Styela clava: one gene and its partners. The protein of the gene in region 3 binds, or shares a complex with, the protein of the main gene of each other region. Links are inferred from orthologs where the notes say so. Each region holds a gene or a part of one and is shown on either strand. Other genes may lie near its edges.

Region 1 (6,694 bases), on a different chromosome or scaffold from region 3:
GTAATTTTTATTCAGTACGAAAGTCGATTTAAAAAAACTATCGTTTCCATAAATATCCGTATACCAGTGTCGGTAATGATAAAATTGATGGCATAAAAATGGGACGGTCAATTTGCGAAGGTGATAAAGGAAAACCAAAGCTAACACAAACGATATAAATCAGAATAAAATTAATTTGAATTCACTCCTTGATATTTGTCTTTAACATCTGCCACCGGCGTGTATTATTGCCAAGAATATGAAAACCCAACTTTAATGTCCCATTCGGAAAAGAAGTGGATTCAATTGGTTGTTATGATAGGTTTAAATGCGTGAAAAAATATCGCAATTACGGGGTCATTACGTAATTGATTTTGCCGTAATTACGGAATTGATTTTTGTCAATTACGTGCAAGCCTATTACCAGTTATTGATATTTGATCAATTCTCTATTACAGTGGTTTTTAGTGGGGTCAACGGAGTCCGAAGGCACTACACAAAGGAATTTTATAGGTTCCATCATGTGCTTCACATGCATAGGATGATATCAAAATACCGTACTCGGATTAGTCGCGCTCGCACAAGGCGAAATGTCAAAGTCAACTCGTAAACCAGGCTACAGTAGATCACATTTTCCTGGTCATATAAAAAGAAATTGTTTTATATCTTCATTCAAAGCAAAATAAGGTCTCATCTGCTTAAATTTGATGGAACGTTTGACATCTTTTGTTCTTGGGTAATGTGAGATTGTAGGCTATCCTTTAAAAGTTCACGATAGATCATATCTTGTATCATCATCCGAATGTGAGGCAGATTTGATGAAAAACATTGTTTGTGAGCAGTATGGACTATTCGAACAAGTCATCAAAATTCTTGAAACCCGTTTTCTATTATTCCATTTCCATTTTACCATGGGTAAATTTATTTCCTATAAATGTTTTGTTTTCAGTTTAATCGTTGATCTATTTTTCAGAATGGTGCCGTTATCGGAACATCTACAAACTACACGAAATGGGCTCAATATCAACCCAGGATTGGAAATGAATTCACCATGTACACAAACGTATTTCTACAAGCTGGGCTTACAACTTTTGCTTGGTGGGGTGAAGGCATGTACAACGCACCGCCGACATCTAATTCGAATGGTGTTGTTTGTAAACGCTGACGATTTATAACAAATGAGCCGTCTTTATAAGGCGTGATTGAGGGGACCGAGCGTCTAACTTTTATGTGATTTTTTCAATATTTGTCATTTATATAATACTTTTTATGGCACATCAAGAAAGAACGATTGAATAAACATTCTACCAAACGCTTGATTGTTTAGGCAAGATATTGTGAAGGCGATGTATTATTTCTTCACATTATTTAGAAACTGAATATTTTACGCTGTAAAATTTTCAAAATAAACCTTCAACACAAAAAGGAGAATGTAGGATTGAGTCCGGTCATATAGTGTATTCTTCTTGAGTACAATTTATTTTTAGAACTTTTTACTGAAGGGTTTCCACATCCTTTTTTCACGCAAGCCTTGGAAAAGTACATATTCACTTATTTGCATATGGATGCTTTTGTTTTCGAGTTTATCCTACTTATCAATTGAGGAAACATATATATGACCCTTGACGCTCCACTTCTCGTCTGTAATTTTCTTATACTTAATCTTTACAATTTTATTTTAGGGTTCGGGACTTTGCTTTGGGCAAACTTAAATATAAAATAAATTGATTTGTTTGAAGAGGTGGTAGACATAGGGGTTATAGAATTTAATGCATTGGCATTTAAAATGGAATGCTTTGAATACAATTTCAACTTATGATATTCAGTACTGTAGACCCATTTGATGATTTTCTGAAAGATGTGTGCACTCTTTAAGTTTAAATAAAGCAAATCGTCACATGCGAACCTTGACTTTAACACGAAATGCAGTTGGCGGGTCCTGTTGTTGTCGGAACATTTGAAATACAAGATAGCAATGCTCAAACATATTAACACGGAGGCCTAAGCAAAATATTTTACCAACAATCTCCCAATCTCCTCATTCATCTCAGGCTGAAGGTGGCTGGAACAGCGAACCCCCCCCTCCCCCCCCGTCATATATTTTAAGAACACGGTTATTTCGAACAGAACTCGTCAAACGATCGCTGGTCGATTACGACATCCCCCACCATCAAGTCCATGCTTCTAAAACGAATAACTGGCTAACTAATCCTGACATGGAATGGTAATCGTACGATGTTGCACCTTGCGATCTGTCCCCAACCACAGATAAATTATATCTTAAAAACTACCCACATTGGTAGGCATAGTTGCGTTTTAAATTGAAAGAAATCTTCATTAATGGTCATCAGGTGTTGTTTGTCTTATTGTTTTGTTAGTTAGCAGGTAATTTATTACTGATCTGATACACAAACTTGGCACTGTCAAATGATGATTAGTGTTTAATTTATTTTCAGGAAAAGGGAAGATAACCCATTATCAGCTGCTTATATGTCCCATCAATATTTGAATTTTCGCCATCCCCAGAGTGGAAGAGAATATTTAGAAAAAGGGGGATTTTGAAGAAAGGCAAAAGGCAGGACCATTTCAACAAATTTTGTTAACTTGTATGCGTTGCAATATTTGCAGTTGTTAGCATAAACATTCAATGTGTCTTTCGACTAGACCTACCACAATTTAAAAAAAGCCGCCTACACCCCTTTTCACTAGAACCATAATACTGTAAAATATTTGATATAAATTACCCCCGAGGCATCATATCTTCCATTTGAAAGGGCTGTGGAGGCAGATACATTTGTTACTCTAAATTGTTGAATGTTACTTTCAGGTTATCTTATCCTTGCTTATATATATCTTGAGGTTAGTGACTCCAACTGACTCATGCATGCCACAATGAAAATTCTCTTGTGTACCCATGAAATAAGGCTGTTGGAGCCTTCAGACCTTGAAAACAGTCGAATCTGAGCACGATGGATTCATGTGAAACACGTAATATGCATTTAGAGGCAAAAATATCCCATCCTGAGCAGCACCGATCCACAACCTCCTGCCTATGGAATCAAAACATTAGACAAATTGGTGTACTGTGCGCATTCTCAAATCTTTGCGAATCAAGTGTGCCTTTTGACTAAAGAAAATTTAGCATTGAAATGGTCAATATCAACCTAGTATCTGCAGATAAAACCAATTGTTTTTTAAAAATACATTTTTGATGTGCTTTATTTTTAAAATATAATTTATAATTACTGTAAAGTGTGTGATACATTTGGTACCATGAATACCATTTGCAAATTATCTTGGGTTACACCCCTCTCAAATAAAAGTTTAGACTCTTAAGTCATATCTCATAATATTCTTTAAAAAAAGTTGCGGCTAGCCGGCTACCCATCAGAATTTCTTTTCAGATCACAAAGTCGAAATATTACGCCTCGGTAAGTTTCATTGGCAACTGTATCTGGTTGTAGTATCGGTGTCCAACGTTTGACTAAAACCTTCCCTACCAAACCCACCAAAACAATTTTTTTTCTTGATAGGGTCGTCTTGAAGTTGCTTTCGTTAAAGAACAATGGACACTTTATCTCCACCAATCCACAGTAATCACAAGTTACTATGTCATTACGATAAGCATCAATAAATGGATACTGAGAATGTATTATCAAGTCACGCAAGCTGTCACACAAGGGGAGCCAGTTATTTGTTTTCAGAAGCATGGACTTGGATGGTGGGGAATGGTCGTAACCGATCAGCGGTCATGTGAACCACCCTCGGTGGGAGTAGAGCTGCAATCCTCTCGCACATAACTATCCCCGCACGGGATTGTGAAACTACCAGAGTGATCAGAGAGGCGGTGGCGAGCGTATTCATAGATGGCGAATTCAATTGAATTCTGGTTATTTTTTGCATGACCACTGGTGTTAAACTTTAGTTATCTATTCAACCTTTCACACTTAGTAATAGATTACCTGCTAATTAGGGAAACAATACCTTATAGCAATTGATTAATAATTCTTTATTGTCTTACATAGGTCAAGTCTGCAACTGCAAGTAGGCCCACGCCTAGGCCTACTAATAACAGTAGTTTGTCATCTGCTTTCCATTGAAATGAGGGAGCTTGTGAATATTTAAAAAAAAAGATATCGGCACACTATCACTCACTGTCAACGAAGTGCTATCTGCAAACAGTGAAACACAGGTAAGATGGCTTCTGGACTTGACACCAAGCAGTTCTGCCAATAGGCAATAGATAATATCCACATTGCGCGACGTTCCGGATCTTTTGAAATCAGTGGAATATAACTGAAGATCCATTTCGTTGTCTATACTTTACGTACAGCCAACGGAACAATACGAAATAACCATTTTCAACAGGCAAACAAAACGGAAACGTATAATCCGACTTGCAACTGACAGGAGCCAAATGGACGTTTTTGTTTTATTGCCGTCCAGTAAACAAGGTCACGTGACCCGTGTAAGTCCTCTATTTGGGTGTAGCTCTCTTGGTTCTTTATATTTTTGCATGTTTTTTTGTTTTTTACTGGTTGGAAAAAATAAATTTCACTTAACTTGACTTCAGCAAGCACGTAGGCTACTACTTCTTTTGACAACACCTTCTAATCTGAAATTTGTACGTTTTAGCGTAAATATATACTACTACGGTTTTAGCCCTTACTTAAAGATTTTGTTCGCTTTCCGGTTCTGATATCAGTTTTATTTATTTATTTTCTTATTATTATTTTATCGTCTTTTATGCTGAATATGGAGTCAAAATGAACTCATTACGACTTCACTGGAATATGCGGTCAAAGGTTATCACTGACCACTTTAGGCACTGTTGTAAAACATAATTCCCGCTTCGTTGACTGGCGTGTTTGTTGCGTTTCTGTTTTTCGCAGACTTCAGCTATGAAGCTCGCAAGATTTTTGATGAAACTCAGCCATGAGACAGTTACTATTGAACTGAAAAATGGTACCCAGGTGCATGGCACCATCACTGGCGTAGATATTTGTATGAATACGCATTTGAAATCAGTTAAAATGACTGTTAAGAACAGGGAGCCAGTCACCTTGGAGACACTCAGCATTCGTGGCAATAATATTCGTTATTATATATTGCCGGATTCTCTTCCATTGGATACCTTGCTCGTAGATGAAGGGCCTAGACCAAGAACCTTCAGAGACAGTCGTGGAGGCAGAGGAGGACGCGGTGGTAGAGGCCGTGGTCGCGGAAGAGGAATGCGTGGTCGTGGAAGAGGTGGCCCACCAAGGAGATATTAAAATAATAAGAATGCTGGATTTGAATATCGAGTTATTTGGGATTATTATTAAACAATTTTATGACCAATGAAATTTCCTTTCGACTTCATGCAGCTCAAAATAATCATATTGGCACTCTGTTTATCGTAATTTGACTGTACTTGCTGATAATCAATTATAAATCAGGGCTAAAGGAACTCCTTTTCAACCCTGGTTGTCTGGTTATCTAATGCTAGACAAGAAATTTGCGGTACACCAAAATTTTATCTTGCAGTTTTATTCTTAAAAGAAAAATTCATGTTTCATTGGGACTTACAATCATTTTCAAAAATTTCATCCTGCAGTCTTATTCCTAAAAGAAAAATTGTTCTTTTGCAATTCATTTCAACCATGTTTCATTGGGATTTACAATCATTTTATTACTGTATTACAACAATGAATATTTTACAATTGTTCTTTTGAATTTTTGCATGCGTGAAGAACTAATGTTTGTTCTCCAAACTGACAGAAATTAGAGGTATTCAGCAAGTCAATATGCCTTGTTTTTGAAACGGGTTTCCACAGATTATGATGCTCATTATGTATGAGAAGTTGTAACTGCATCAGATATTGCAATCATCTGCTTTCTCAAATATTTTTCGCCGCCACCAGACAGTTGAATTTGTTAGGAGAGTTCAGCAAGCAGGTTGAATAGTACGGTACTCCCTCAAAGTTACTTGGACATATTGCTATGAATTATCTAGCTGTTGTGGAAACTAGATTATATCTCAGAAAGATATATCTTATTTCTGACAGAACTAATGTTTCCCATATTTTTGAATGACACGGAATTACATGGGCCTGTTTAAATCGGGTTCGACAGCTTGGACTGAAATACTTCAGTCAACCCGAACCCCCCAGTAATCAGACACCAATCAAAGTTGATATATTGATTAACAATTTTAAAATATTATTTGAAAGATATTAACAAAGGTATATATTTCATTTATACGGAGCATTAGTGTGAAGACTGTTCCTATTTATTGCGAATAAGTTTCTCAATTCAAGGAGCGTTCCTTACTACCCTACCTGAATTAAATCACCATGTTCGTGTTATTGACCTTGTCCTCTGCCAAACTAATGAATTCTTGAAATCTCTCTCAGTTTCAATTGGCATCTCACTTTCTGCAATGCACGCAGCACATTATCTTTTAAGATTTGATAGTTTGGCTGCAAAGCTGTGGGTTACACATTGTTGTGTTGTGGGATCATGGAAAATCTACGCACACATTTTCTTCTGAAAGTGAAGGATATAGCAACACGTGAAAACTTAATTGTGTACTTCTGGAAATCTTTCCGTTAACCCCTAGTCTAATGCAAATATTTTAGACTCCACATTTGACCAATAGCCTACTGAGTAAATACGATCACAATTATGTCATTAATTCATCAAATTACAGACAGGTAGCAAAAATAACGATGTT
Region 2 (6,553 bases), on a different chromosome or scaffold from region 3:
GGTATCATGTTTTACTGAAATGTTTTATTTTTTAGTTATTGCAAATTTTGATATATTTGATACATTATAATAGTTACTTTTCATTGTGCCGGCTCTTTTAAAATGGGAAGGTGAAAGAGGCAGGATAAGTGAGTAGTTCATTCGGATTGAGCACAGAAAGTAAGTAGGGTACGGCATTAAATATTAGGTCAGGGGGGGGGGGGGGCACAATGCTAGGCGTAAAACTGATTTTACTATCCACTTCTCAAGAAAACTCTCCGTTCTTCCTAGTTTCGTTGCTTGATGAGGTTATTTCACATGGTGTTCCTCCCTTTTTTAGTGCATGAATTGTTTGAACATAATGGAACTTGGAATCTACCAATCAAAATAACACTGGAATGATAAACAAACAGCGTGGCCACGAGCCATAAAAGGTTGGGAACCACTGTAAGAGGTGGTCTTGGAACATCACTTCATTTGCAATCTAATTGATTTTGGAATCATATAAATATCAAAATTGGGTATTATTCTTTTATTTCCTCAATCCGTTGGGAGAAGTTATTTTCCCGGCTTCCCTTTTTATACTTTGCTTATATCTCAAGAAAACAAGGATCAAAGAAAACGACAAACAATTAATAGGACGATAACAGCCCATTTTGACAGGCATTCGTTATGGGATAATGTTTCTAAGCGAATGCGGATATGCACATCCGTCTATGTGTATCACATTGCAGGCTTTCTCAATAGGATTGTGTTGAGATTTAAAACATAGACGTTCACTTTTAAAAATTTTATTCCATAGCAAAATGCTATTGGCACATAGAAAATAAGACTTACAATTCAATTACCTTCATACATAGATCTAGCATGAACTGAAATTACACAACTGCAACAGTTAAAAATGACAGAATGAAGGTAATTAGAGCCACAGGAAACTATGCATTTTATTTTGCTCAATATTAACAGATATACTATTTCCCAATGATATGCTAAGTTAAAATACATATGGTTCGCAATGCCACTTTGGGGGTATAGAAACAATAGTGTCAAACCATCACTATTGGAGGTAAGCAGTCACTGTTTAGCTTGTTTTGCAATCAAGTATTTAAGTAGTACATGTTTGGAAGCTACACTAGATCAAAGTAGGGTATACAAACATAAATAAAAATCGCTCTTACAACTTACCGAAAACAGCACAAACAAAAAGAAACTATGATAAACGCTGTTTTCGATAATTAGCAAGACCGAAAATAGATCGAAATGTTTTTATAAGTCTATGCACAATCACGGATTGTTAAATCAGTTTTTTTGTGGTTGGTATTAGTTCATTAAAAATCATTGAATCCTTTCCAATGCTTCCAACATTAATATCGAATTTCCGCGAACGACCACCATTCCGACGGGTGCAGTGGTCCCGTCTTTTCTGCGCTCTGTTCCATCATCCACAACTAGATTCATGAAAGGATCGAATCCTCGCAAAACTCCCGTAACAGATCGTCCACCATTCAACTTTAAATCCAATCTTTTATCCATAAACTTCTTCAATTCTGGTGGATGGGCCTTGCTCATCTTGATATTACGCGATACAATCCAACAGCAAATACCGAAACATACAGTGCGCAGAAAGTGAACTGAGCGCAATCAAAACGCGCGTCCTTATTTTAAGAAGTAGCTTGCTTCTCCCCCTAGCGTTTGAGCTCATCAAAAAGAATATGGAGTAAATGATGCAATATGCTTACTCTGGTCTTAACTTATTTATTAATTAATTATTTAATCATAAAATATACAAATAGGAAAAATATTCAACCAAAATTGTATTTATTTCCTAAAAAACTACCCGTAACGCTCCAGTGGCAAAAGTATGAGTAAGCATCTAATATATTTGCATTGTCAGATTTTGTTGTTCTGTCGTTTCAGAAGGGACGGATTTACATTTAGAGGTCTGGAAGTTACGTACTGTGCCGTACCTTGAAACTCCAAGCTATCATCATATATTTTTCTATTAGAACACAATTTTTTAGAAATTAAATCGCTGTCGCAGTAGTATAATTGAAGATGGCACCTCCGGCAATTGATGAGAAGCTAAAAAGTCCTACTGGAGACGAACAACAAATGGATATGTTTGACAGTGTCGAGGTGAGAAAACCGCAAACAATGTTAGATAAAATTTTGATGAGGCACTAATAATCAACATTACTTATTTTTTTGTATATTTTTTTTCACTGAGTAATTGATTTTAATACTTTTACTTTTAATACTACTACTTCTTTTAACAATACCTTTCCATCTAAAATCTGTATGCTTCAAACCCTAATTAAGATTTTGTTTGCTCTCCTGATTCTATAATCAGTTTTGTTTTCAATTATATTATCGTCTATTATGCTGATTATAGAGTCGAAATGAACTTATACTCATACTTAACAGTTAGCCTATGCTGGCTATATAGTCAGAAAATGAATATATATAACATATATACTTTCATGCTATAAGTTACCTAAAAGTTGAATGCCCAGTCTCTGAATTAAGGTTTTGATTTGTCAGTTTGTTGCCAAATTCGAAAAACTTTGAATATTGCTTTTTGGATTTAAATACCGGTAGTGTACCGGTAATAGTTATTAACTCCACACGACCACACACTTGAGTAACAGGTTTAAAGGTTGATAAAAATCACTATTTTTTATTTTATATTATTAAAAAATTTCAATTTCAGCGTGTTTTGAGCTTGCCATCCAATGATGCCTGTTTAACTTTGTATATGACTTTTTTAGGAAGCACTCGGTGAAGAAGTTATGAAAATGAGCAATGAGGAAATTGCAAGTCGAACGAAACTTCTTGATAATGAAATTAAGGTTTTCTTCATATTATTTTACCTTAAATAATATATTCACAAACAATTTATTTACGGTATATAGATATTTATATAATGCTCTTTGTTCTCAATTTTTTTTTTTAATCCCTCATTTTCAAACTGTTTGACAGAACTTTAGTGCCAAATTTTTGTTTTCACTGTGTAAGAATGCTTCGGAGCAAAATATACCTTATGTTGAATTGCTTTCCAGATTATGCGAAGTGAGACGATGAGAATATCACATGAATTGCAAGCTATGAAAGACAAAATAAAGGAAAATGCTGAAAAAATTAAAGTTAACAAAACGCTGCCATATCTTGTCTCAAATGTCATTGAGGTATGTATGATGTTGAAACTTGAAACTTCACTCTATATATTTTTTCTAGCCAGGAGGTTGGTACATCATGCTAAGAGAGGGGAATACGCTTGCCATCCCAACCTTCGATTTCTCTGCAAGGATTCGATTGCTTTGGGACATATGTAGGTACTCTTAGCCATCGTAGGGTGGTTCGCATAACCGCTGGTTGGGTACGGCAAATCCAAGTTCATTATCTGAATAAACTATTGCCATACCCGACATGGACTGGTAACTGGATGAGAGGCAGTGGTTTGGCAAAGGGATAACGCCGCCCTAAAGTCTCTCTGCTCCCCCAAGATAAATATGATATTCCTATTCTAAAAATCAAAAGATGCTTTTATGAACTGACATCAACTAATCTCATGTCATATTGATTGGTTATCATTATCAATGAATAACCCTTTTAAATCTTCTCTAAACGACTTTAATTACCGTATTTACAAAACAATGAAAAAATGAAATATTTCAGCTTCTTGATGTTGATCCTCAAGAGCAAGCGGAAGAGGACGGAGCAAATGTTGATTTAGATTCTCAGCGCAAGGGGAAATGTGCAGTGATTAAAACATCAACTAGACAAGTATGCCATCTGATTTTATATATATAGCATGTTATGTGTATACACTAATTCAGTGGTGCCCAAACTTTTTGTTCGGGAGCGCCAAATTATCAGGGAAAAAACTTTTAGAAAAAAACTGCTACCATCAAATAAAACTCAATTTTATGATCGTTAATGTGTACTTCATACCTTTTAAAGTTAGTAAATATGTAGGCCTAAGGAATAAAGGTAAAAGGTAAACTCTTCTTCCTCATCTCTGCCTGATTTTCCTCTGGAATGGTGAAAAAATCACTCATGTTTGCTAAACTCGAGTCAGCAGAATGATGAAAAAATCACTCATGTTGGCTAAACTCGATTCAGCAGATAAATAAACTGCAGCTCGCGAAATTCCAGTAGGTAGTGTCTATTTCTATCTTTATGTAACAATAGAGGCAGACACTACATAACAGAAAGTAAATTTGTTGTGGCTCAATTAGCGTCTCTTTGGAAACCGCTGCACTAGTTAGATATTGAGAGAACAATATAACTGAATCTGTTTCATTTATTTAAGTGAGTGTATGTAAACGGCCAGATCATTAGCAAACAGTCATTCATTAGAGGCTTTCAAATTTTGATTCTTCATTTTAATATAATTTATATCCGTTTTATGGTTTGATGAATCAATATATTCTCTCTTTTTGTTTTTAGACGTACTTCCTGCCTGTGATTGGTCTTGTTGAACCAGAAGATATGTCTCCTGGTGATCTTGTGGTAAGATTAATAATAGTGTTTGCCAGGTTGCTTCTGAAACAGATTTAAAAAATCTGGAATATAAACTTTGATTTATATACAGGTTGAATGACTGACTTTATTGCATTGACTGTGTGTGTTATATTTCGAAGTTTAAAATCCGGTACTGTACTCTAGTAACCGGTCCGGTAGTATGTGAACCAAGATGGCGGACACCGGAACGTAGTACGTGTGTGTGCCATGTTGGGTTTGGCCATGATTTTATTTCAATTTTCCTTATTTTAGTCCTATTACTAGTTCAGGGACTAGCCAAGTGACTCCCGTAGTATTTGTCCCTGGAATTATGGCCCCTGGAATTATGGCCTAACCCTAACCTTGCACTCGTACTACGTTCCGGTGTCCACCATCTTGGTTCACATACTACGGGAGGTCCCAAAATCCTACATGGCCATTTCGTTTTCAAATCGGAATCTTAATTTTTTTTTAATTTACTAAAGTTGATTTAATCCTTTCTTAAAATTACTCAGGGTGTAAATAAGGATTCATATCTAATATTGGAAAAGCTTCCAACAGAATATGATTCTCGTGTTAAAGCAATGGAAGTTGATGAAAGACCTACTGAACAATATTCTGATATAGGAGGACTTGACAAACAAATTCAAGAGGTGATCATTCATACAAAGTAGGAAAAAAATTAAACAAACAGTAACAAAAATCAAGAAAATTGTTTAAACCTTGTTTGTGCAAGTATTGGCAACTTTGCCGAATTTCCATCCTGTATTTTATCATTTTGTACCATGCCGAATTAAAAATAAATCTTATCTATCAGTATTGAAAAACTGCTTATTATTTACAGAAATTGTGGGATTAGTGAAAAGATTCATTGTCACTTATAATCTAGGATTCTATAGTTTTTTATCATTTCGTTACTAGTTAATCTTATTTCTTATTTTTTTCTATTAGTTAATCGAAGCGGTTGTTTTACCGATGACTCACAAAGATAGATTTGTCAGTATTGGAATTCAACCACCCAAAGGTGTTCTAATGTATGGGCCACCTGGAACTGGAAAAACTTTGTTGGCAAGAGCTTGTGCTGCGCAAACTAAGGTATTTTGAGTTTCAAAATTTAATGATAATTATGAAATACTTTCTAACTAATGAGGATATGCTCAAAGCAACATTACACACATTCACTAAGAACGTAAAAGACTCATTCTGGGCAAAATGGCAACTACGGTACCTACTAGAACACGGGTGTGCAACATTTTTTGTCGATGGGCCATATAACTAACATACTTCAAACATCTAGGTGGGCCACACGAAAAAATCAGTGTTTCCATGTACACAACAAATTAAGAAAGTTTCTGATATGTAAAATATGAGTTATTTAACATTAACATTTTAGTGGGAAAATTGAAATTTTGAGTTCTTGCATGGTTTGTTAATATCTGATGTTAACAAACTGTCAGATTAGGATTTTATGCTTGATCAGGGAAAATTTGGGTGTAGATAAGGGCCACACTAAATGGCTTGGTTGGCTGGGACCTCGGGTTGTGGCCCGCCGGCCACCTGCTGCGCCCCCCTGCACTAGAATGTCAAGTGCTTCTCTTACCATATAGAATTATGGGGATTCATCACATATCAGTAAATCTCTGTTGACGTGAGACTTGAATAGTAATCAAATATCACAATTAAGCTTGATTAATTCATATATGACTTAGTTAATAAAACTTAAATGAAACATATCAAAGTAATGAAATTAAACTATATTTATATATCAAGATTTTAGTTTCTCTTACTGTAATGTAGTTTTTGATTCTTTATTGTTATTCATGAGTATAAGCCTAAGTAACATGATCTAAAGTAGGGACGTGAAAATGTTTATCGCAATGAGCCAAAAACTTGAAATTATGGTGACAATGAGTGTAGGACCATCAAATACCTGCTATATAATTGTGATGACAGCTATATTAATTCACTCTATCTTTTCCGTTATAACTCTTCTACCAAATTTATTTTATTTAGTCTACCTTCCTGAAACTTGCTGGACCACAGCTTGTTCAAATGTTCATTGGTGATGGTG
Region 3 (8,751 bases):
CGATAAGTTATTGTTATTTTGGAGCTTTAGCAGCCACATATTGAGTGCTTTTGTATACTATATAATTGTTTCACATATTAGAAGATTAAGTCTAGTTCAGGCCAATTGTAAGCTTACAGTAGATTTTTTAGAATTTTATTTTAGGGCATGATGGTCCGCGTGTATAATATGTTTTGTAATTGAATATAAATTTAGAAACTGGATGCATGTTGAAGATCCATGCCAATCTAAAACACATAAAAATGGTGGGGAAGGGAGATGGGGAGGGAATAAATGGTCCTTTCGGGAGTTCGGAATTTTGTATATCCAATCCAGTACTGTCCTTAGGGAAATCACTGTTATTTTACCCGCTCGGTTTGGGCACGAGAACACCCGTCCAATAACATATGCAATCTTAATGTATGGCTCATGATGACATTTATTGCATAGACTGGCATAAGTATTGCATTCGGATTTTTGATTAAATTACTGAACGGAGACAGCGATACAAATCCTAACGAAAGACTTTCATTGCATCTTTCTACCAGATACTGATAACTTTGCCCGACATGTCGCATCGATTTACGCAAGATCATAACAATTATGGCCTCGAAATTCCCTCATTGTCAGTTTTTGTCACACTATAGTCGCTCTCTGGGCCAGAAACATATCTGGAAAACCCTGTTTCAACTGGAGGGAGTAGGTATATATTAAAAGCACTAAAATCCCAAATCGTTTTATTTACACCAAATGGGGGGATACAGATCAGAAGCCACGACCGTCAATAATCAAATCCATAATAGCAAAACACTAACTTCCGGCCCATGTGTTTTTTAATATGAATTTCATTTTACAGTGAAGTATGCATTCAGTCATTCGGAATCAAATGTCACAAGAGTCAGCTACATGTGGCCAAAATCCCTTTCACACTCTGCATATGGTACCTTAGAGCAGGGCTACTCAACTATTTTTACTGAAGATCCGCATACAAAACTTCAAAAAAATTTGGGTCCGGTCTTTCCAGATTTCCATATTTTGGCATCCTCAAACACGCACTTCCTCGGCCGACTAATGATTATTAGCTAATCAGGATTGTTTATTATGGCGTTATAGTTCTTTTCATATATATTTAAATCCATAAAAGTTATTTTAGGAAAGGAAACTCAAAAAGTGGGGCTAATGATCCAAAATAAAGAATAAGGCGCGGTTCGAAACGAATACCCGGGAGGGCCGGATTCGGACCGCCAGTTGAGTAGCCCTGCCTTAGAAGCACAACTATCGGTGAAAAAGAGTGCAAACGAACATTACAACGTGCTAAAAACTAACAATCAAAGTTTTCATCCATTTCGGATGAATTGAGGGCAGTCTTTATACCAGTCGCTCCTATTTAGATCCCCGATAGTATTACTGCGGAGAAATACTGAAGTACTTTCATCAGGGGATCCTTATCCAAACAGTTTTCTTCAAACAAGCATTTGTATACTCAAGCCAACCATCACATTTTACTGGATTTGCTATACATTTGAGATCAATGCATGACAATGTCCAACAGCATTTAACAACTGAACCTTCTTCAGGTGAACCCTTCGAATTTTGCTTTAGGTATTCAATGACCTCTTTCTTCCTTTATTTTCACTCACACAGTAATCCTCCAAAAATACAGTGGCAAGATTTGAGATTCGATTATCCTCCGATTCTTTGAAAACTTTCAAATTTTTGACCAATGCAGGAGTTATAATCAAGTTCCTGTAATTGAAACACAATTCGACAAGATTGATCTTATTGCAAACGCGGGACTCTCATCCGGTTACCAGTCCATTTCGAGCTCTGGTTAGCCAGTTATTCTGTTTTCAAATGCATGGACTTGATTGCGGAGGTAGCAGTAACCAACTAGCATTACTTGAACCACCCTATGGCAGCGATAAGTCCATCTTCTTGCACATAATTATCCTCCAAGTGATGCAGATTCAGTGAACCATGTAGTGTAATCAGAGGTGCAGTGGCAAGCGTATTCCTATCATGATGCCCAATACCACTGAGCATCTTGGCCAATCTGAGTCCAATTATGGATCAATAACTTACCTACCTTGATTGTGGTAGAATAAGCTGCATCAATGTTGTCATTCCAGAAAGAACAGTTTCGGTATTAACACTATAAAGACATCTCATGATAAGTTGTACACTATCATCCCCATCCAGAACATAATCCCTGAACTTAGGATCTGCCGTTATATTACAAAGTCCTGCAATTCCAAACTCTGAAATTTTTGAATTAATGTCTTCATCATCTGTCAAACAATCGAGGAAAAGATCGACTACCTGGAAGATCAATGAGCGCTTTCAGATTTTTACACTTGGATTAGGATAATAGAACATGGCATTTGAATTTCATCATATCAATAATTCCATCTAAACTGGCAGAGGGAAGTAAATTTCAAACTGATTTGAGATTTACATGCGATAAATTCATGAAAGAGGCCTGCCCTTTGATGAAAATAAAACATTCCAGATTTCCAGGTCATATGGACTGATAATTGGCGATCTAAACTCGTAGTTCTTGCTGCGACAATTAAGCCAAAATATATTGAATAGGAGAAGAATAAATGGAAAAGTCTAAAGCAGTGGTTCTCAAATGGTGGGGCGCGCCCCACAAGGGGGCGTAGACAATTATTTGAGGGGGCTGTGAAGCTAATTTAAAATAAAAATATTTGTGAGATTTGATCTTGCTCACCTATTTTGCATATTTATATTTCCTTATTTTACGTTCCATCCACGTATTTTCAATGTGTTGTTTGAAAAAACATACTTTCTCCTTACTATCAGTTATTTGTAGCTTAATTATTTGTAGTCAATTATTATTTTTCAGGCTGGGGCGTGAGACTTGAAAAATTCCAAAAAGGGGGCATGGCTTAAAAAGTTTGAGAACCACTGGTCTAAAGCATGCTATATACTCCTCAACAAGGGGATTTTCATTCCACACAGTTGTTTAAAATACCTGCAATTTCCTCAAATATTCATAATTTATTGGATCATAGGCAAAATTAGCAAGATTCGCTAGAACTTGTTCTTTGTCGGACTCACTTTTTGTTTGCTGAAATTCAGTTACGAGAGCCTGAAAAATAATTAATCCCATTATCATATGTCCAAGGAATTTTAGCTTCCACATATATTTAACTATTATCAGACATTCTGGAATATAGGTTACTAAACTCCTTTCGAACAAATATAGAATACAATCCCCCAGTCACAATAATATAAATCCTATCCTAATTTCAAACGACTACCAACAAACACAATTGTATATGAGGATATCACCTGCAGATAGTCAAATCTGTTCAAATCTTTTTTCGGTCGAGTCCTTTGTTGTAACCTTTTATGAGTTGTGAACATTTCATGAAAATATTACAATATTTTTACTCAAGTAAACTGTGCTAAAACAATGTTGTCCAGGTTAGAAACATATCTAACTAGTATCCATTTCTAGTGTATATGAATTGGAATCAAGCGAATGTCAGGGAATGGTTTCCTATCTACATTAGCTCTGATATTCTAGTTGTCCACAGCATTGGTCAGAGTGGGCAAGGTTTTTGGACCAGGGGCCAAAATTTTGACCACCTAGACTAGCGGGCCATAAAAGTGTGACGTAAAAGTGTTACATAAGCAAAAGTGGAAAACAATAAGCCTTGTGCCAACACTAAATTTAATTGCAATCTCAACAAATTCCTCGAGCTCATCAGGCGGTCCAGATTGGGCCCGTGTCAGGGTTAGAGTGAACACCATATAATAGCAAATAGTAAAGCAACTAAAAGTACATTTTCAATTGTGACAGGGTTCATGAATAGGAAGGAACATGACAAACAAAATTTCAACAGGAATGTATTGTACTATTGTTGTCAAAATAGAACATAAAAATTCATTCATGACATGATTGACAAAAATGCTGTAAGGCAATCATAATTTTAAAAAATAACAAACAAAAAATCATAGAAAACAAATTGAAAAGATATTCCATCATTAGTTTCAGTCACTAGGGTGCAACAGAGCAGAAGCACACTTCAGAGTCCCATCATATTCTTATATATTTCATAATCTAAATAGTTCTCATTTCTCTCACTGGTTCGTTATATTGAGAAAGCTGGTTTATAGCAGCAAAAAAAGTAAAATGGAGAACAATGTTGGTGATTATTCCACTTTTCCTTGGTTACCAGTTGTGAGGTTACAAATACTCCGCACAAGGATTCCAGCACTAAAATAGTAAAAAAGAAGAAATTTGAGAATGAACAGATGAGGATTATTACAGAATGAGTGTTATAAACAAATAGTGCACACTCGAATAAATTTGTCCTGGCTGACAATTCATTGTTCAACGTAAAAACTTTTTTTTGTTCAAATGAGGGCTTGTAACCTAGCTAAACCTAACCATTCTAATAATATCTCACCTCAATAATGCAACAAGTCCGGCAGGCATAAACTTTCTTGACCCGTAGAATCTCCAACCCATCATTGCACCAAGTGATGCAGACACTCCTAAAAATAATTGAAAGCTTTTCAAGGAAATGGTATGGTACATGTTTTAATACATTCCTGGAATCGCATTATTCACGTTATATAGACTTCTGTATCTAAAATTCGAATTATATTCAAAATTGATTTATCTATGTATTTCTAGTTTCATCATCCAAAAGCTTGCACCTCGGAATATTATGAAAACCACCAGGAAAAAAATGAATACATATTTACCAACAGTAAGCCAGAGATCACTTGGATCTTTAGATGTTCGATATGCACCAAGACCAGCAAGCCCTCCAAATAATAAACCTGCTCCTAATGAGGTTGTACTTCCTAAACATAAAAAGATAAAATGATTGATTTAAGTATTTAATAGTATTGCAGTCTACTTAATACTTCGATAACCAAACAACTCGACACTGTAACAACCCGGTCCTTAACCGAAAAATTTGAGTCCAAAATACTGCGGTATTTAGGTAGTTATCAAGTTAACATGTGTTGAGAAATTTTTGTGATTCAGTTCTTTTTCTTGCCTTTCTGCTGCTGATCATGGCTCCAAAGAAAGGTAGTTGTAAACGGAAGAGGGAGGAAAACAGTGAGAACAACTATCGAGTTGAAAAAAGAGAGTTTGGTAGTTGAACAACCATCCTCGAGCCTGAACAAAATATGTCCGACTACCGAGGTATCACTCTAATAATAATAATTCCTCCTCTGATCAACCTGTATGGGTTCGCAGGTTCGAATCCCATGCGAGGATAGTTATGCGTGAAAGAATTGCTGAACTGCTCGCTCCCGTAGGGTGGTTCACCTAACCGCTGGTCGGTTCCGGCTTCCTCCACCATCAAGTCCGCGCTTCCGGAAATAAATAACTGTCTAATTCCATACCCAACATGGACTGGCAACCGGATAAGAGGCCGTGGTTCGCCATATGACAGTATGATTAAGCTGTCTTATCAGCTTGCCTCTCCCATGTAAATCCCATCCTAATTAGGCTAGAATCAGCTCAAGTCCTGTTTTTAATATACATGACATCTTGTTTCCAGAGTCTGAGAGTCTCCTTATTTAATGCTTGTAATTGCCAAAACACACATGCAAAAATAATGTTTATTTCTGTATTTTCTCATGGTTTTTGAATTGTGTGCATACTGGTGTTGCTTATAAATTGCCGCTATGCCATTAACAGGTTACTTATTTCAGTATTTAGTCAGAACCTTAGATCTAGGTTACCGTATCGATAACATCGAAATACAACTGATGTTAGTCTAAATCTGAAATCTCTTCCCTTACCTGCTTTAGCATATCCAACAATGCCGCCAGCTGCAACAGTCGCAGCGTAGAGAAATCCGATCCAATCGACTGCCATTTTTTCAGTACGTACTCTAGTTTTCCTGATTGCTCAAAACGTTTACCCTAAATCAGTAAATCCTTTAGTTCTGATACAGAAGCAACCTTTGCAATTGTGCATGGGCCAAGGTTGTTTTGCAAAGCTGATGGCACTTGCTCTATAGTGCCACCACATAGGGAAATCTCAAGGCCATCATATAAGCAGAGTCATTATATAATGGCTCTGATATAAGCATGGCCATCCACAATATAAAGATAGAATCATAAATATTACATAACAAGTTGACAACTGTATCAGATAGGAGAGAACAGGATTTACATATTCTTCCGGGGCAGAGAGGCTGCTTTATCATATGGCGAACTATGTCCTTTCGTCCGGCTGAGGTACGATAGAGGTATGGGATTAGTAGGTAGGTGTTTGTTCAAGTCCATGCTTCCGAAAACAAATAACTGACTTACTTATCACATGCACTTGTAACCGGACAAGAGACCGTGACTCGCCATTGATTAAACCATCTTGCTTCATTGGCAATAGACATTCGAAAATTTCTTGTATGCTTCACTCACCGAAGTGCTGGGTATATTGATGATAAACTATGTGTCTCCGAGAACTTATAGATATATTAGGATTATAAAAGCCTAGGATCAAGCCATAATTACGTTGAAAAATATCTTTTTGCAGACAAGGAATGAAATATATTCACGTCTTGCGTGGGCATGGCGAATTCGATTTTTCGGGGAATCGACTCCGTTTTATGGAATCCATTCGCACGGCTAAAACTTGAATTGCAAACAAGTTATAACGTTTTGTGACAAGTCTTTGTAGATACAAACTGCTATTTGGAGTTGCTACGACGACGCAAACTTCACTACAGTATATTTCTACACTCTCTTCCCGCATGCCCCATTTTGTATCTTTTTTCTCTCACTTATTACTTTCATAACTTCTATTCACCTGAAGCAAGATGCATCGAGAACTCTTCGACAGGAAGAATGAAGCATGTATTGAAAACCTGATCAATGATGGTATGTATAGCTTTGAAGAGAGTGCTGACATTGGTGAATTGGCCAGGAAGACAGAGGCTTCAGCTGAGATATCAAAATTTTGCAAAGACGGTAATCTTGGCATATCAGCGACTCAAGAAGAAATGTTGCAATGGTAACAATTAAACAAAAAAACTTATTCGAACATCGCAGTTGTCGTCCAAAGGTACCTCTGCTCTATGTCCTAGCAACATCCGCTGCATCAAAGAGGACATTTTGTGGCTACGTTGCAAATAAAAATACATAAACGCGTCAATGATGACATCCTCTGTGCCAGGGGTTCTCAAACTTTTGGTGTGGCGGAGCCCTTGAAAAGGTTGACTACTATTCACGGAGCCCCAAAATAAATGTTAAAATTGTTACTTTCAGATTAATATTCCTGAGCAAGTTAAAAGTACTTTACTTAATTTAAATGCTGAACCTTTTTAATAGGGTTAATACAAGTCATGAATCTGAAACTACCGACGAAGCCGAATGCAATAAAATAAATTTCAATTGTTCGTATTTTGCGCAGACATTGTGATTTTTTAAACGGCGCTATCTTAAAAACGAATCTTGTGTGCGAATGAACAAATCAAGTACGACGAATTCTAAGATCGCAAAAATACGATTCCAGTTTATTTATAGTTGGCAGTTTATCACATATTTTATGTTATTTTAGAATAGTATTCTTTCATTCTAGTAATCTTAATATAGGGTTGTCATACCTTCCGGACATGTCCGGAATTTAGGGTTAAATTTTGCGTCCGGGATGAATTTAAAAAAATGCTCAAATGTCTGGAATTTTACTGCATCTGCAATTGTACTGTGCACACTGCTAATACAGAACATTGCTATTTTGTGCCGTGCGCATATTTTTTACTACGAGGTTGTATGGAATTATGATGTAACAGAGCGTTTTCCTTATCAATGATGTTTACCACTTATGAACTTTCTGGAACTTTTTTCTACAATTATTCAATACAGTATTTTGACTGGAGGAAAGGTGGTTTGCAATCAAAATTGATTCAGTTTACAAACAAGGCAAACGAGGCATAATTGCCACGTATGTAAAAGACACCTCAGAAAAAATGATGCTTTTGAAAAAATGTGTGGCATTTACAGGAGACAACTGCAATACTATGTTCGGAGAACTTCGGCGTAATGAGCAAGGAAACAATGTGTTTGCAAAGTTAAAGAAAATGTTGAACCCGTCATTGATTGTGGTTGGCTGCTCAGCACACGTTTTAAACAATTGTATTCATCATGGGACTGGAAGAATGAACATCGATATTGAAAATAATATCAATAAGATATATCGATATTTTTCTATTTACACAGTTAGAACTGAACAACTGAAAGAATAATGTAAATTTGCAAATTGTGAATACAAGAGACTTCTCTCTCATAGCAAGACTCGCTGCTCCTCCTTGTTTCCTAGAATTTCAAGATTGTTAGAATTGTTTTCACCCACCCCTGAAGTTCTACTTTTTGTCACAAGAACATCCACCAATAGTTATTAAACGGTTCTTTGAGAATGAAATGAGCGAGTTATACCTTTTGCATATGCACTCACTATAATGTCCGTGTTTCATAGACGTATTCAAGTGGTTGACAGACAAAACAATTCCGATGCAGAAGTGCTAGAAAAATTGGAGCTGGTTCATAAATGGATTGTGAGAAGGAAGAATGAAAACTTTATGTTATAATTCCGCATGATTAAATAAAATCTGATACATGACTTTGTGAATATACCAGTAACTGATTTCTGAATAGTGCCATAAAACCATAGCAAGAGACGCCGCGGTTCGTTCGTGGCAGGAGCTGCCACGAAGTGGTAAGAACTGCGACTCTTAGCATCAGTATCGTACAACGTTTGCAGCCTTAGCATTTCGG
Region 4 (8,327 bases), on a different chromosome or scaffold from region 3:
ATTTGAACCCATGACAATTGCACCTGTATGCTATTGCACCTATGAAATTTTTTTTGTTTTTCGGATAGTTGAACCCATACTAACCTTAACCCATGGGTTTTAGCACCCGCATATAGATTAAACCCGTGGATATACACATGGGTTCAAATGTACGTGGGTTCAAATGTACGGTCACCAAATATCAAAAGAAAAAGATTTGACCCCTAATTTATTAATATGTTTGTCAAGTGTCAAATTTACAGCCTCAATATATATATACGGTAATTTATCTTTAAAATTTAGATTTATTTATGACTTGTATTAACCCGTTAAAAAAGGTTTAGCATTTAAATTAAGTAAAGTACTTTTAACTTACTCAGGAATATTAATCGGAAAGTAACAATTTTAAAATTTATTTTGGGGCTCCGTGAATAATAGTCAACCTCTTCACGGGCTCCGCAACACCAAAAGTTTGAGAACCCCTGGTCTAAAAGATAATACTGATAAAAGTAAACTACGCTGATATACAACCAGAAATTGAAAATGTAATGCACTACAGATAAATAATACAGTAATAACAACATGAAATTGAAACAAAAAAACAATATTTGTCACATTGCATTGTGACCATTGTGACGACCCTTGTTTTGCCTGTTAAATGACGTCATGTGATATCGTTTTGGTATTCTAGCAGTTTAGACGCTGCGACACGGTCGATCGGTTCTCGGGGGCAGCGTGGTCTGTTGGTGTATGCTGTGTGTGACAGAGTGGAGTCGTCTGAGTGTTTCGGTTAGATTGGTGGGTTTTGAATGTCTGTGTGAATGCGTCTGGTCTTCAGGGATGTTTGTCTGTGTTGTGTGACTGTCGGATGTTTTGTGCTGGACAGTGGGCTGACGTAGGGACCATGTTATTGATTTTACCAGTACAGTGCCATTACAGTTCATTTACCGTAGTGTTGTATTTTCAGTTTTATCGTGGAATTAGCTTTCATCAGTATTGTTCAAATGTTGTGCACCTATAGAATTGTTCATAGTCTTTTTAAATGCCTGTCATAAGTTACTTTCGGCCTGTTTTACAAATTGCAGTAGCTAGTTCATTGTACCAGATTCTAGGGGTCATTTGGTTTTTTATTCAGAGTTGTCTTGGATTTCAGGGTTGGTCAGTGTTTTTGTTGTGTATGTGGTCTTTCTTGCATTTTACTGCCTGGTATCTGTTATTTTTATTTTATGCTTTTCGTTCCTTTGGGGAGTGTTTGGTTGTTTTGGATCGTTTACTGTTCGAGTTGTCAATAAATGACATAAAATAGCATAAAGACTTGGACTATTGAGAGAAAACTTGACGTCAGATCATATTAGAAGATATTCTGAACTTGGATAATTATTTCATACATTGCCGGTACGCTACAATTTTTGGCGAGAGCACGCCAGGATATTTTCTATGAACTATGATTTTTTTTTCTATTACTTGGACTAATGGATGATATGTCAAGGCTCTGGTCAATAACGTGCCTGTTTTGTTTTTGATTGATACCGGTGCGGGTGTCTGGCTCATTGACACCGCTGTTTACTCGACGTTGCAGGAAGATTCGAACATTTCGGGGCTGCATCCTGTTCCAGTGCCACTCCGTACTGCCAGTTGCGAGTCATTTGTGTCTCACGGTGTACTTGATGTCAACCTGACGATTGAAAGCTGGTCTGTGGAGCATACAGTTGTGGTCGCCGATCCAGGGTCACGTGCGGGTGTCTCGCTCATAGACACCGCTGTTTACTTGACGTTGCGGAAAATTCGGTTCGGGTGTCTCGCTCATAGACACCGCTGTTTACTCGACGTTGCAGGAAATTCGGACATTTCAGAACTGTATTCTTTTCCAGTACCATTGCGTACTGCCAGTGGCGAGTCGTTAGTGTCTCATGGTGCACTTGATGTCAACCTGACGATTGAAAGCTGGCCTGTGGAGCATACCGTTGCCGTCGCCGATCTAGGGTCACGGATGGACTATCTTGGCAAATTCGTCGCATCGTTTTGTTCTTGAGGGACAGGATGTTAAGGTACAGCACCAAACAGCTTCTCCCTGCTGTCATGGGACTATAGTGAAGATGTGGTTATACCGGCCGCTCGGGAATGGTTGTTCTAGTTCAGCTACAACAGCCTTGGCCGTCCGGAGATCTAACATAGTAGCCATTGTTGAGCCAATGGAGATATGCAACATCAATTTGGTCGTTTCGATGACGTTGGTGGACTCAATCCCGAATGACAAACTTTACGGATGCTTAAGCGTGAGGGTAGACGGCCTGCATATTTTAAAGACATTTGTGGACATAATTTGGTTTTGACTACTGCTTTTCGTGTTTCAAATATTTTTTTTAGAGATGAAAACATTCTTTCATAATGTTCCATCTAGAAGAGGGGGGTAATGTGACGACCCTTGTTTTGCCTGTTAAATGACGTCATGTGATATCGTTTCCATATTTGGTATTCTAGCAGTTTAGACGCTGCGACACGGTCGATCGGTTCTCGGGGGCAGCGTGGTCTGTTGGTGTATGCTGTGTGTGACAGAGTGGAGTCGTCTGAGTGTTTCGGTTAGATTGGTGGGTTTTGAATGTCTGTGTGAATGCGTCTGGTCTTCAGGGATGTTTGTCTGTGTTGTGTGACTGTCGGATGTTTTGTGCTGGACAGTGGGCTGACGTAGGGACCATGTTATTGATTTTACCAGTACAGTGCCATTACAGTTCATTTACCGTAGTGTTGTATTTTCAGTTTTATCGTGGAATTAGCTTTCATCAGTATTGTTCAAATGTTGTGCACCTATAGAATTGTTCATAGTCTTTTTAAATGCCTGTCATAAGTTACTTTCGGCCTGTTTTACAAATTGCAGTAGCTAGTTCATTGTACCAGATTCTAGGGGTCATTTGGTTTTTTATTCAGAGTTGTCTTGGATTTCAGGGTTGGTCAGTGTTTTTGTTGTGTATGTGGTCTTTCTTGCATTTTACTGCCTGGTATCTGTTATTTTTATTTTATGCTTTTCGTTCCTTTGGGGAGTGTTTGGTTGTTTTGGATCGTTTACTGTTCGAGTTGTTAATAAATGACATAAAATAGCATAAAGACTTGGACTATTGAGAGAAAACTTGACGTCAGATCATATTAGAAGATATTCTGAACTTGGATAATTATTTCATACATTGCCGGTACGCTACACCATCAAATATAATAACTTTGAGGTTTGAAATGCGGCTCTGGGACTAAAAAAGTTTGAGAACCACTGGCCACTGATATAGACCATTACAGCAATACAGTAATAATACACAACCGTTAGCTTGTAAATCAGCAGTGCGGTACAAACTAGGACGGCTGAATAATCATATCGGTAATGTCATATGATTACCGTACCTATCTTTCCAACTACAGAACTAGGCCTACTTTACGATAATTGCCGTATATGATCTCTCATAAACAGCAGAATTTCATTAAATATCATTTGTACACGGAAATCACCAATAAAATCCATTATACCAACCTCGCATTTCTGCATTTATCGAGAAGGTTTAGTTGCCGTTCATCAATGTCAAAAAGTCGGAATTTATAGTCACTTTGCTACCATTGTGAAGCTAGTAGCGGGACTCGGAGTCGAAATTCTAAATTAATCGGAGGCGGAATTTCAGACATAATTATGATTTTATTTATTTTTTTTTTTGTTTTCTATCTTTTAAGTTTATAGCGTTTTTTTTACTTTATAATATCTCTGTGGTTGCGAGTGGTACATGTGAGTGTGTGTGAATTCATTTATTAATTTCAGGTTAGTGAACACGTACCTTTTCTTGGCTCGGCGGTGTGGCGCATTGTGCTAAGCGTTAGGAATACGCTCGCCACCGCATTTCTGATTACTCTTCGTGGGATCGCAGGTTCGAATCCCATGCGGGAATGATCATGTGCGAGAGGATTGCTGGATTCCTCGCCGCCGTAGGGTGGTTCACGTAACCGCTGGTCGGTTACGGCTTCCTCCACCATCAAGTCCATGCTTCCGAAAACAGAACGAGAGGCCGTGGTTCGTCATATGATTAAGCCGTCTTATCGACTTTCCTATCCCCCGGGATAAATATGTAAATCCTATCCTATCCTCCTTGGCAAAACTTTCCATCCTATATCTGTATGTTTTAAACCTAATCTGAGGTTTGGTTTGCTCTTCTGATTTCATGATCAATATTCATTTATTTGTTTTTCCGTAAATATATACCATTGTTGCTGTTATGCTGATTATGGCGTCGGATAAACTTATATTAAGACCGTCTTATCGGTTTCCTTCCCCCCGGGACAAATATGCAAATGTTAACTTATCCCAATACTCGTCATAATGAAGATAAAAGTTACGGAAAGTGTAAATATAGATAAGAATATTTTTTTTAACCTCAGTTATTATATAATGACCAGATCGTTGAAACACCTTCAAAAAAAAAATAATATTATTGTAATATTTTGCATTGGCGAGGTGAGGTCAAGGGTCGGGAAATAACCATTGTTGCAGCATGGCTATTAGCTGCAGTTAGTTGCGTAATCTTTTCATTGTATACTTATTCATTGTATGAAATCACCTAAATAACATCACAAAAATAAAATAAAATTTGGACCTCATGCAATAATATTGAAATATATATTTGATTATTTGGATATACCAAAACTATCATTTGTATAAATCCGATTTGGCAATGGATTTGAATTTGGCAAAAAAAAAAAGTTGGGACCTCATATGCTTATGTATGTATATGTCTGCTGACTGACGCATGTAGAATAGGGATATAACATACGGTAACTCGCGTAATTGAGTGGAGTAGGTAGGCTATTACATGTTTCAAGCGGACGAAACACTGCAACATGAAATATTCAATTACAGAATTGCTGAATTGTGAGTTATGATAAAGTTCTGAACTTATAGAATCTGAATGAGTGAATTGTTATCGAACAGTCTGACAGTCGAACTGAATGTTGAAGTGTAGAAGTGACAATTGGCGTAAGTTGGACAAAAAATGAGGATGGACACTTGTCACTCTCCCGTAAGCTAGCCGAGGGCCACACTTACTGAAATGCCTTGATAATACTTAAATATCTGAATATTGGGTCTCGTGTATTTTCGTACCTTTTTCGTAACGTACTTCTAGTGGGAGTAGCATAACAATTTTTTGATATGTCAATCCTAACCCCCATCTGACTACGCCATCCAAAAATTACGTCACTACGAGATCACAATCCCGTCATAGACTGAGCTTGCCAAATATACGTACAATCGCCCGAAATGGCATTGGCGCCGACGCTAAAGAACAGAAGAACTGACCGACGTTATCGATCTCTCTCTTATTGGAATCGTTGCGACGAGTTCATATAGTTTGAAGGGCTCTATTACTTTCAGACTTCACTGTGACGTGGTAATGATGTAATTTTTGGATGGTGTAGTCAGGTGGGGGTTAGGATTGATACGTGAAAAAATTGTCATGCTACGCCCACTAGAAGTATGTTAGGTAGGAACTACATGAGACCCTGAATATCAATGATATAGTGTTCTAAATAACTTATAGTTTAAATTCACTATAGAATCAACAATTATCAGTCAAATAATTCATCATAATTTTTTCTTTTCAAATTCCATAATGCTATCAATGCAAAAAGGCACCCCACTCAGTCGCCTATTACTCAAACAAAATGTTCTTCTCTAAATCATTGCTTGTTACAGTTTTAAGATTTTGATCAATTTATCACTTGCAGTAATATTGTATGTCTCTTTATTTCAATTGATATTATTGTTACCATTTTTTTTATTACTTGTGTCGGTACAATACTTCATGCACGATGGAAATAGAATATCTGAATATGAATCTGTCAAAGTAACATCTATATTTAATTTATTGCATGCATGTCCCATATCACTGTATCAGTTAGGCAGTACAGCAGTAAAGAACTAAAGAAATGTCTCCTACCAAATTTCATCTTATTTATTTTCATATATCTAAATATTCAGATATTGGGGATATTTTTGGAATCTGTGAATTTGCTATTCTGTTGTTCATCAGTTCTAGGTTTGTTATTTAGACTATAATTACAGGATTAACCTGTATTATGTTTCTAACATTCCTCACTCGGACTTGTTGCAATAAATCTCAATTATTACACAAATCAGTTACATGTTGTGGCATTATCAGACATGCTGTTCAATTGTCTACGTCTTCGATTATGAAAGGAGAGAAGATTCACCATAAAGATCTTTTTGATTATTTCAAGTTTGCTTATGGACGTTTAAATATAGAATCTAGCTCAAAGACAAAATGGCCACCTTCATTATTAGAGTTTTTTGGGAGCAATCCTAAGGTTGCGATTCATAAATTGGAAAATTTGAACAATGATATTGATAATCTGTACGGTGTTCATGATAATTTAAAAGAAGTTGAATCTTTTGTATCTGAAGCATTAACTGAAGCTAAATCTGATGAAAAAGATGATTTAATTAAAATTGCAGAAGATGAAAAAGAAGAACTTTTGAAAGAAATAGAGTCATGTAATGAAATAATTGTGTCGAAGCTTTTTGAAATAATGCACGGTGATAATCAAGTTTCCAACGCAGTTCTCGAAGTGTCAGCGGGCGTTGGGGGTCAAGAAGCCATGCTTTTTGCATCAGAATTACTCGAAATGTATCAATCTTTTTGTATAAGATTTGGACATGATTTTGAAATTTTAAATGTCGAGTATACTGATATTGGAGGATTGAAGAAGTCTTCAGCAAATATAAATTTTATAGATAGAAATATGTATCAATTGTTTAAGAATGAGATTGGTACCCATAGGGTACAACGTGTGCCAGAGACAGAAAAAGCTGGACGAATACACACCAGTACAGCATCCGTCGCTTTACTTCCAGTTTTTAGCAATCGAACTGAAACACTTGATGAAAAAGATGTGGAGGTTCAACGTTTTAAACGCTCTAATTCTTCAGGTGGTCAACACGCAAATAAAACTGAATCCGCAATTCGATTAAAACATATTAAAACTGGAAAGATTGTTGAATGTAATGCTACAAGATCTCAACATGATAATAAGGATCGTGCTATGCAAATGCTAGAAGCTATATTAGCATCAGAAAAACATAGTATGCAACAAAGTGCTCTCACTAAAGCTCGTCAACAGCAGGTCAAAAATCGGGAGCGTTCCGATAAAATTAGGACTTATAATTATCATCAAGATCGTGTGACTGATCATAGAATTGGCTTCACTACCCATGGAATTGCAAAGTTTCTTAATGGTGAAACAACTTTGCTTAATTTGATGGAAAAATTAAACAGTAAAACTCAATTGGAAGAATTAAATATTACAAGTAAAATTTTGCTTGATGAAGGACAATTGTTTTTTAATGACAAGAAAGTCAAATCAGCTGTTTCAAAGTAACTATGATCTGATTATGATTGATAGGCTACCGGAAACGATAATTAGTTTTAAAAATGTTGTTGTTAACTTATATTATTATACAGGTACAATCAAATATTTTTTTTTAGTGAACTTGACTTGGCTGCAAATGAATCAGTGGCAGAACCTATTACCTACAGGTTATTACATTACCTAGTGAGTTGCTGATTGCAACTTGAGTTTGTTAAATTATCTACATATTTGACAGGCTACATTTGGCAGGCTACATTTGGTAGGCTACATATTTGGATTATACCTTTTATTAATTGGCTATAAATCTATATTTGGTATAAGAATGCTCTTTATATTGTTTCATGGTGTGAAAATGATGGCAGTTCTATCGAGAGATGTCACTGGGCAGTATTGCAGGCATTTTATTGCAGTATTTAAACTAAATGTGATAAATGTATTGACATTGACCATCCTATTAAAAAAATATTGTTTCTCAGTGTCTCTTTCCGATTGCTAAACATGGCTTTTATAGTCGAAAAGCGTGTTTTTTATAAACAACTGATTGTGAACTCTTGATAATTGAGCATGAAATTTAGCATCTTTTTTTGATATTTTTAAATGCCAATTTTTTGCTATTGTTCACATGTTCCAAGTTCTTTATTACGAATTAGTCAAATATTTATTAATGTCCATAATATTCTAAAATATATTTATGTTTTTTTCATATTTGACTTTTAGTCATAATTTTAAATTTACCTGTTTGAAAAGCCCAAAATGGCTGTGGCTCCTGCTTCAATCGAGGCTGAATTTGCCAGACGGTTAGCTGGAAACGATAAAAGATGTAGGGATAAAGCTCTGAAGAAATTAAGACAGTTTCTCAATCTCAGATCGGCAAAAACAGATGGTGGATTCACGAGGTGTGTATGTTTTTTGTCGTTACATTGTTTTTATCTCAG

What was found.
Region 1: armadillo repeat-containing protein 7-like (region 3) and small nuclear ribonucleoprotein Sm D1-like share a complex: the UniProt entries of both Homo sapiens proteins name them as parts of the minor spliceosome. The link is inferred for Styela clava from reciprocal best matches to the Homo sapiens genes ARMC7 and SNRPD1.
Region 2: armadillo repeat-containing protein 7-like (region 3) and putative small nuclear ribonucleoprotein G share a complex: the UniProt entries of both Homo sapiens proteins name them as parts of the minor spliceosome. The link is inferred for Styela clava from reciprocal best matches to the Homo sapiens genes ARMC7 and SNRPG.
Region 4: armadillo repeat-containing protein 7-like (region 3) and pre-mRNA-splicing factor ATP-dependent RNA helicase DHX16-like share a complex: the UniProt entries of both Homo sapiens proteins name them as parts of the minor spliceosome. The link is inferred for Styela clava from reciprocal best matches to the Homo sapiens genes ARMC7 and DHX16.

Annotation. Positions count from the first base shown.
Region 1 is NC_135254.1:11,227,153-11,233,846, reverse strand, and holds small nuclear ribonucleoprotein Sm D1-like, read left to right. Parts: upstream 1-4,822; 5' UTR 4,823-4,880; coding exon 4,881-5,252; 3' UTR 5,253-5,681; downstream 5,682-6,694. Other genes in the region: uncharacterized protein LOC120344877, read left to right, coding at 953-1,144. UniProt on the Homo sapiens protein: Plays a role in pre-mRNA splicing as a core component of the spliceosomal U1, U2, U4 and U5 small nuclear ribonucleoproteins (snRNPs), the building blocks of the spliceosome.
Region 2 is NC_135255.1:6,374,865-6,381,417, forward strand, and holds putative small nuclear ribonucleoprotein G, read right to left. Parts: upstream 1,630-6,553; 5' UTR 1,549-1,629; coding exon 1,315-1,548; 3' UTR 755-1,314; downstream 1-754. Other genes in the region: 26S proteasome regulatory subunit 6A-B, read left to right, coding at 2,035-2,115, 2,748-2,828, 3,039-3,164, 3,655-3,762, 4,429-4,491, 4,998-5,135, 5,434-5,577, 6,496-6,553. UniProt on the Homo sapiens protein: Plays a role in pre-mRNA splicing as a core component of the spliceosomal U1, U2, U4 and U5 small nuclear ribonucleoproteins (snRNPs), the building blocks of the spliceosome.
Region 3 is NC_135259.1:3,196,864-3,205,614, forward strand, and holds armadillo repeat-containing protein 7-like, read right to left. Parts: upstream 3,431-8,751; 5' UTR 3,370-3,430; coding exon 3,295-3,369; intron 3,092-3,294; coding exon 2,975-3,091; intron 2,299-2,974; coding exon 2,066-2,298; intron 1,726-2,065; coding exon 1,578-1,725; 3' UTR 700-1,577; downstream 1-699. Other genes in the region: transmembrane protein 14C-like, read right to left, coding at 4,162-4,225, 4,419-4,506, 4,720-4,821, 5,776-5,851. UniProt on the Homo sapiens protein: As a component of the minor spliceosome, involved in the splicing of U12-type introns in pre-mRNAs.
Region 4 is NC_135261.1:8,620,642-8,628,968, reverse strand, and holds the start of pre-mRNA-splicing factor ATP-dependent RNA helicase DHX16-like, read right to left. Parts: upstream 3,513-8,327; 5' UTR 3,494-3,512; intron 1-3,493. Other genes in the region: peptide chain release factor 1-like, read left to right, coding at 6,082-7,401; uncharacterized protein LOC120329709, read left to right, coding at 8,146-8,288. UniProt on the Homo sapiens protein: Required for pre-mRNA splicing as a component of the spliceosome. Contributes to pre-mRNA splicing after spliceosome formation and prior to the first transesterification reaction.